Cricetulus griseus: one gene and its partner. The protein of the gene in region 2 purifies or fractionates together with the protein of the main gene of each other region. This does not show direct contact. Links are inferred from orthologs where the notes say so. Each region holds a gene or a part of one and is shown on either strand. Other genes may lie near its edges.

Region 1 (3,822 bases), on a different chromosome or scaffold from region 2:
AAAACAACAAACAGAAATCTATAAGGTAAGGGTGCATCTGAATGGAAACTTTTCTTTCATTTTTGCTTCTTAAAAGTGCATCAGATTTTTTTCTTTTCTGTATTATATAAAAACATTTCTACCAATACTGGTAATGTGGAAGAGATATTGAAGCTAGCCAGTTTAGTCCATCATTTTCTCCACCACCTGTTAGAGCTGAAACCCTTCCATTGGTGCCTCCTGCTGCTGAAATACAAACTGTTGCTGGTTTTCATCCACCTGAGGTGCAATGCTGGGATCATCATCTTCTACACCAAAATAGTGTTCAATTAGATCAAAAGCCTTTTGGTAAACTTCCTGATTTTCATGGCTTTGCAGAAACTCGATTTTATCCAAGCCTATCATAGAAAGAACACATGCAAGAAACAAATTATTATTAGGGCTTCAGTATATATGAAAATAACAAATCAATAGCATCCATTCACTCCACTAAGACTGGGAGATTTATTTTTTCTATTTCAATTTTTTTAATTTAAATTAGAAACAATCTTATTTTACATATCAATCCCAGTTCCCTCTCCCTCCCCTTTTCCCCTGCCCCCCACCAACTCCCCATCCCACCCCCCCTCCATCCACTCCCCAGGAAGGGTAAGGCCTTCCACAGTGGATCTTCAAAGTCTGTCACATCATTTGGGGCAGGGCCTAGACCTTCCCCTGTGTCTAGGCTGACTGAGTATCCCTCTGTGGGGAATAGGCTCCCAAAGTCCATTCATATACGAGGGATAAATACTGATCCACTACCAGAGGTCCCATAGACTGCCCACGCCTCCTAACTGACACCTACGTTCAGGGGACTCAGTTCAGTCCTATGCTGGTTTCCCAGATATCAGTCTGGGGTTCATGAGCTTCCCCTTGTTCAGGTCAGCGGTTTCTGTGGGTTTCCCCAGCCTGGTCTTGACCCCTTTGCTCATCACTCCTAAGATTGGTCAATTTTTTAAAATTGTTTGCACAAATAAATGAGTTCACACTCATGCCTTATTCTTTAAGAATGACAAATATAGGGGACTAGGGATATAGCTCAGTTGGTAAAAATATTTGACTACCACACAGGAAGCCCTAGACTCAAACACCCTTACTGTATAAAACCAGGCAGGTGGTACTTGCCTGTAACCCTAGCACTGGGAAGGTATAGGTAATAAGATAAGGAGTTCAAGATCATTATCCTTGACTATACAAAGAGTTCCAGGATAGCTCAGGCTAATGAAATCTAGTCTTTCTAAATAATAAGCAAACAAACAGTGGGGGGGGGAAGTACAATATGAAGAAAGACACAAGTCAGGGAGGAAGATTACAAGCACCAACCAGCCTGCTGTGTGTTCCTAACTACGTCAAGAAGTTAAATTATCTGCACTTGAGTTATAAAAAAGTCTAGTTTTAGACTAATTCCACAGACCCCTTCCAGAACAACTATGCTACATAATGAAAACAGAAAGAGAAATAAAACAAATGAACAAATTGAAACCAGAGGGTTTTGGTATGAAATACATGCAAATGATATTTGAATCCATGGCACATCACAAGAAAATACCATAATCTGGCTATTACAGAATGCCCCAAAAGTACAACCTATAAATGAAGCTTGAGAAAAAACTTCATTCTGAAAGAATGAGAGAAATATGTAGCATACCATTTTATTGCTTTCAGGAAAAAAATTCTACACAGATCTGAGTAATGCTACACTATTTTTCATTCAAAGACAAATTACTTTGGGCCAAGCAGATGACTGAGCAGGTAAGGGTGCTGGCCACACACACCTGACAGACAGCATGAGTTAGAGCCCATAGCCATGGGAAGTAGAAGAGAACTGATCCCACAAAGCTATCCTCTGATACTCACATGTGCACTATGGAACTCATGTTCACAAACACCAACTAACAATAAAAACATTTTTTATAAGACACACCACTTGGATATTGTAGGTAAGGAAAAAGCAAAGCAGTCACCATCTCTGTAAACAACCACAGAACACCCCAAACACAATTAGGACAATGATTTTGCAAACTTCAAAGAAATAGGTGACAAAAAAAAGGAAAAAAAAATAGATGAGACTGAGTCATGTGTTAAATATTTTTAAAAAGTCCTCTAGAAAAACCTTATAATAAACCATAAAAAACAGGGTTACTAAGATGGCTCAATGGCTAAAGACACTGGCTATGTGAACCTGATGATCTGAGTTCAATCCATAAAACTGTCCTCTGACCTCCACAAACATGCCATGGCACATGAGCCCATGTACCCATCCCATACACAAAATAACAAGTTAGAAAAATAATCACTTTGAAAAAAGTTACATACAGAACTAAATAAAGTTCAATAGTCAATTGTGATTAGGAAATACACTAACACAAGGGAAATAGCACTTTCTTTTTTAATAACTTATCCTTCTTTATATGCAATGGAATTTGGCCAGCATGTATGTTCTATGTGAGAGAGTTAGATCCACTGGAACTTATTTAATTTTTTTTTTTTTTTAAGTTTTTCTAGACAACATTTCTCTGTGTTGCCCTGGCTGTCCTGGAACTCTCTCTGTAGACCAGGCTGACCTCAAACTCACAGAGATCCGCCTGCCTCTGATCCACTGGAACTTGAGTCACAGAGTTGTGAGCTGCTCTGTGCATGCTGGGAATTGAACTCCAGTCCTCTGAAAGAGTAGTCAAAGCTCCTAACCACTGAGCCATCTCTTTAGCTCAGAAACAGCATATTCTATACAAAACAAACTAAGAAATTAACATAAAAACAGCTTAGTGACATCACTTTACACAAGTCAATAAGAGGAAATACCAAGTTATAGAGGTACTTTCATACCTAGCCAGTGACTCTGTCAACTAAAAGTCCTTAAGAATGGAAAGAAAACAATTTTGTGCCTATGATTCAGCATTTGCATTCCTGAAAATATATCAGCACATATGGATTTATCTGAATATGATGGTCTATGCTTCTACTCACAACTTCTAAGAAACTGAAGTGGAGGCCTATCTCAGCTACACCGTTGAGAGCTAGTATCAATAAAATAAAAATCCCAAATCAAGGCAAAAAAAAATGCTGCCAATAAACAGAAGAAACAAATTTACAAGCAGAAAGATAACTGTTGTGGCTTATATGAAGCATTGGAAACTAATGGTCAATTACCAGTATGTGGCCTTAATTGCTAAAACATTGCTTAAACTATACCCACTCTTCTATCCAATATAGTATACATCTGTCCAATCATGGAGAAATGTACAACATACACTACTTAAATCAATACAAAGTCTTTGTACAAAAGGAAAATATAAAAAGGAAGGTAGATAAGGAAAGTTAAATAGTAAAAAGAAAACGATGAAGACGAATTGCTACAATATAAGATATGGGTAATTATTTAAAAATATTTTTCAAATATACTGTTTTTATAATGAAAACAAAACTTATAGAATGGGGAAGGGTAGAGGTGCAGAAGGCAGGAGGCCACTTAGGGCAGATCATTAAGAATACCCATAATTGCAAACTTTCAACTGCTTGCTTACCATATGCTTCTTCAATGAGAGCACAGTATGGATTGACACCCACTCCATTCTGTTTAGATTCTTGTTCTCCAAGACGTAAAATATTTTCGAGTCCATTCAAAGCCACCTGAACTATTTTGGAGTCCATGACAGTCAAAAGGTCACAAAGTGGTTTAATGCAGCCTAAGGTTACCAAATACCTTCAGAGAAATTTTAACAAGAAATGGAAGAGGTAGGATTTAAACACTGTACATTATAATAACACAAAACCAGAATGAAATGTTATATAACCAATAATGAA
Region 2 (3,822 bases):
AGTGAGTGCTCTTACTTGTTACATTGATGTTTCAAGTGCTTCTTGTAACTCTCATCTTGGAACAGAGTATCAGGGTTATATTTCCGGATCCAGTCTGCCTTATGAATGTCAAAAGTACTTTGTGACTTTACTTTTTTCCCTTTCCGCCCACGGGGCACAGGGATAGACAGACCTGGGAAAGGGGCGACATCAAAGACTTGGATTGAGAAAAACCCTTACACCTGAAAAGGACTTAAATACCTTGTAGAAAAATGAAAGGGAAGGAGCTGATAATTACCTGAATGATTCTGCAATTCTTTTGTCTTGCCATTTTCAGCAGGGCTAATCAAGTCCCAAATGAAGCTTTTGATATTTTCATCCCCACGATAGTGCAGAAGACAGTAAACGAGGATGGCACGGCATATCGTCTCCACATCTCTTTCAGTCATACGTCGCTTAAAACGTCCATGAGACAAAATATCTCGCCAACGTCCCCAACTAACAAAACAAGAAGAGCAACAACACAAATATTTTGGGAGAGATTTAAATTCAGTAATATTCCCCTGGGTCCCAGAATTGCCATCTCCATCCAAAGTGAAAAACAAACAGAAGCTCCCTTAAAGGTAGTGTTTCTACGTGATACTACTTGGTCACATCCTCCATCTGAGGCAACAGGGAGTCAGGAGTCAGGAAGTGCAGAGGTGTCCCACTGCTTGTGACAAGTTGTATTCTTACCCATATACCAGGAGATGCTTTTCCACCCGAAAGCAGTCAGTGCGCCCATAGGTGTGATGCCGGTCATGTCTTCGAGAGCGCGGCCGCTCATCATCCTCACTTTCCAAATCAGAAAACTCAACCAGGTCATCATCTTTCAGAGTGCTGAAGTGCCGAGTCTGTTTCCGTACTCGAGGCGTGTCAATCACCAAGTTATTCTATATAGAGAATCAGAGTTATTTCTGAGATCTGCCCACTGGAAGAGAGTGAAGACACTTAGGGACTGACATAATCTTGAAAGTAAGTTATGAAAGTACTCAGATCTTAAAGCATGTAAACAGTCTACAAGGCTCAGGAAGAAACAGGTGGTAGACATCTGTGGTGGTTCCAATAAGAACGGCCCCCACAGGCTCACAGATTTGAATGATTGGTCACCAGGAGGTGGCACTATTAGAAAGGAACAGAACATGTGGTCTTGCTGGAGTAGGAAGTGTGTCACTTGGGTGGGCTTTATGGTTTCAAAAGCTCAAGTCAGGCACAGTATCTGTCTCTTCCTGCTTCCTTTGGATCTTAGATGAAAGACTCTGAGGTACCCATGTCTGCCTGTGTGCCAACATGCTTGCTGCCATGACAATAATGGACTAAACCTGAAACTATAAGCAAGCACCAATTAAATGGTTTCTGTTGTAAGAGCTGCCATGGTCATGGTGTCTCTTCACAGTGATAGAACAATGACTAAGACAACATCTAAGTATTTTTAGAAGGTATCCTAGGTAGAGAAAGCTTCTATAAACTTTGTGTATAATATTCCACCATAAGCATAATTAGTATTAAAGAGCTGGAACTACTAAAAAGTGAAAGTATATTGTCTTCTGCTACACCCGCCCCCTGCCCCAAAGGAGAGGTAAGCTCACCTTGCTATTCAGCAAATCCATGTCTAAGTCTGCCTTTTTGGCCCATTTTTGCCAAAAGTTTGGATCATCCAGGGAAATATCTGTCCTATTTTCAGAAGCAACAAAGCTTGCCTAGGGAGAAACAAAGGCAGAATAAAGTTAACTATAATGCTTTACACACAAAGGGAAATTAATAAGTATTTACAAACACTTAAATCCTGGAGGTTGCTTTCTCTATCCATGTCAGCCCACTTAGGGTCTGCCATAGACAGAACATGCCTTGGCAAAGGTAGAGCCTTTCCCTTCAGACTCAATAGTGATGGTTGTAGTCCGCCTCAGCAAGATCTGATCTATGTCCTCTTCACAAAACTTAGAGCCCTCATCGTCTTCCTCCATTATGGCAGCATATGCACCTTTCCTTAAGAGATCTTCAATCTCTTTCTTGGAGAACTGTTGAATCTGAAAAACCGAGACAAAGATAAAAATCCTACGAAAGAATAGTGTTGACAATTAATTGTACTGCAAAAATAATCATCAATACAAATTCTGGGGACCTGAACTTGGTATCACGAACACTGGTGAAAGGAGGAAGGAGAATTGACTGCACAAAGTTGTCCTCGGACACACATCACACATGCTCTGAAATGGTTGCTGTTTATCTCCCTCCATTACTATGACCCACCACACACTTGTCTACAGACTTACTCCAGTGATGTTGCCATCCCGACCACTCATGGACTGAAGCACAGCCTTATCCAATCCCAACTTGAGGCTAGCTTTATCAAACATCTCTCTCTCATAGGAATTACGAGTGATGAGTCGGTAAACCTTCACAGCTTTGCTCTGTCCAATTCGATGACACCGTGCCTGGGCCTAGTTAAAAAGAGAAAGAAGACACATAATATCAAGTCTTAGTTATTCACACTCATAAAGAGTCATGAAATCAACTCAAAACCAAAAACTTCAAAAAGAAAATTCTGCCCCACCTTGTAAAATGGGGGTCAGCAAACTAGGGGTTGTTTTTTTTTGTTTTTTTTTTTTTGTTGTTATTGGAGTCAGGGTTTTGTTGTGTAGCCTTGGCTGTCCTAGAAGTTGCTTCATAGACCAGGCAGATCACAGAGATCTGCCGGCCTCTGCCTGGGATTCAAGGTGACAGCCACCACACCTGGCTTAGCAAACTAGTTTATGTGTTTATCTTTTCTATAAATGAAATCAGATTCACATATAGACCCATTGATTCAACCCATGTTGCTCACTGTTGCTCTTGTGCCACAGGAGCAGAAGTGAGTGGTTGAAACAGAACCTACAGACTCCAAAGCCTACATTTAGCATTAGTTTTTTTTACAGAAAGTTAGCGGATTCCTGACGTAGCTGCCACCTCTAAGTAAACAATTTCCCTCTTCTTTGAAAGAGGGGTCTTTCTAAGAGACTGTGATTTACTAACAACCTCTTGGATTAGGTAGGTAGTTTTTAAGAAAAAGAATTTCCTTTACCTGCAGATCGTTCTGTGGATTCCAGTCTGAATCAAAGATAATACAGGTATCAGCAGCTGTAAGATTAATACCAAGTCCACCAGCACGGGTGCACAGCAAGAAGACAAAGCGGTCTGAGTCAGGCTTGCTAAAGCGGTCGATAGCAGCTTGTCGAAGGTTGCCTCTAACTCGTCCATCAATGCGTTCGTATAAGTACCTGGTAAGGAGAGATGGATATCACAAAGGGGAAATGTGGCTAAGTAGAAGAAAGCAAGGTCTTGCATGTGCCAAGCAAACATTCTACCACTGAGCTACACAATTATCCTTGAAACTTTTTGAAGACATGATAACCACACGACATTTTAGAATGACTCATCTTACCTCCTCTGGATTAGATAATCCTCAAGGATATCTAAACAGCGTACCATCTGGGAAAAGATGAGAACTTTATGGCCACCAGCTTTAAGCTTTGGAAGTAACTTGTCAATAAGAACCAATTTGCCAGCTGACCGAACCATGGCCTGTAGGTGGAAATCTTGAGGTATAATATGGCAAGCTTCCCGAAATTCCATCAGGATTTTTTCTTCTGCACCTACAAATAAAATAGTCAAAAATGATGTTATGAATAAGTGAAAACATATAAAATCTTATTGAACATAACGGCTTGAGTTAAGTAAGCAAAGTAAAAACAGTATGATCCTGGACCCTCCCTCCCTCCCTCCCTGCACACACACACACACACACACACACACACACATTTGTGT

What was found.
Region 1: the proteins of Chd8 (region 2) and Kpna5 purify together in Homo sapiens (affinity purification with mass spectrometry; 3 studies listed by BioGRID and IntAct, with this or other methods). This does not show direct contact. The link is inferred for Cricetulus griseus from reciprocal best matches to the Homo sapiens genes CHD8 and KPNA5.

What each region holds. Positions count from the first base shown.
Region 1 is NC_048595.1:257,192,284-257,196,105, forward strand, and holds part of Kpna5 (importin subunit alpha-6), read right to left. Parts: intron 3,722-3,822; coding exon 3,543-3,721; intron 378-3,542; coding exon 190-377; 3' UTR 1-189. UniProt on the Homo sapiens protein: Functions in nuclear protein import as an adapter protein for nuclear receptor KPNB1. Binds specifically and directly to substrates containing either a simple or bipartite NLS motif.
Region 2 is NW_023276807.1:207,299,992-207,303,813, forward strand, and holds part of Chd8 (chromodomain-helicase-DNA-binding protein 8), read right to left. Parts: intron 3,651-3,822; coding exon 3,440-3,650; intron 3,276-3,439; coding exon 3,080-3,275; intron 2,460-3,079; coding exon 2,292-2,459; intron 2,046-2,291; coding exon 1,866-2,045; intron 1,719-1,865; coding exon 1,608-1,718; intron 912-1,607; coding exon 715-911; intron 478-714; coding exon 278-477; intron 197-277; coding exon 16-196; intron 1-15. UniProt on the Homo sapiens protein: ATP-dependent chromatin-remodeling factor, it slides nucleosomes along DNA; nucleosome sliding requires ATP. Acts as a transcription repressor by remodeling chromatin structure and recruiting histone H1 to target genes.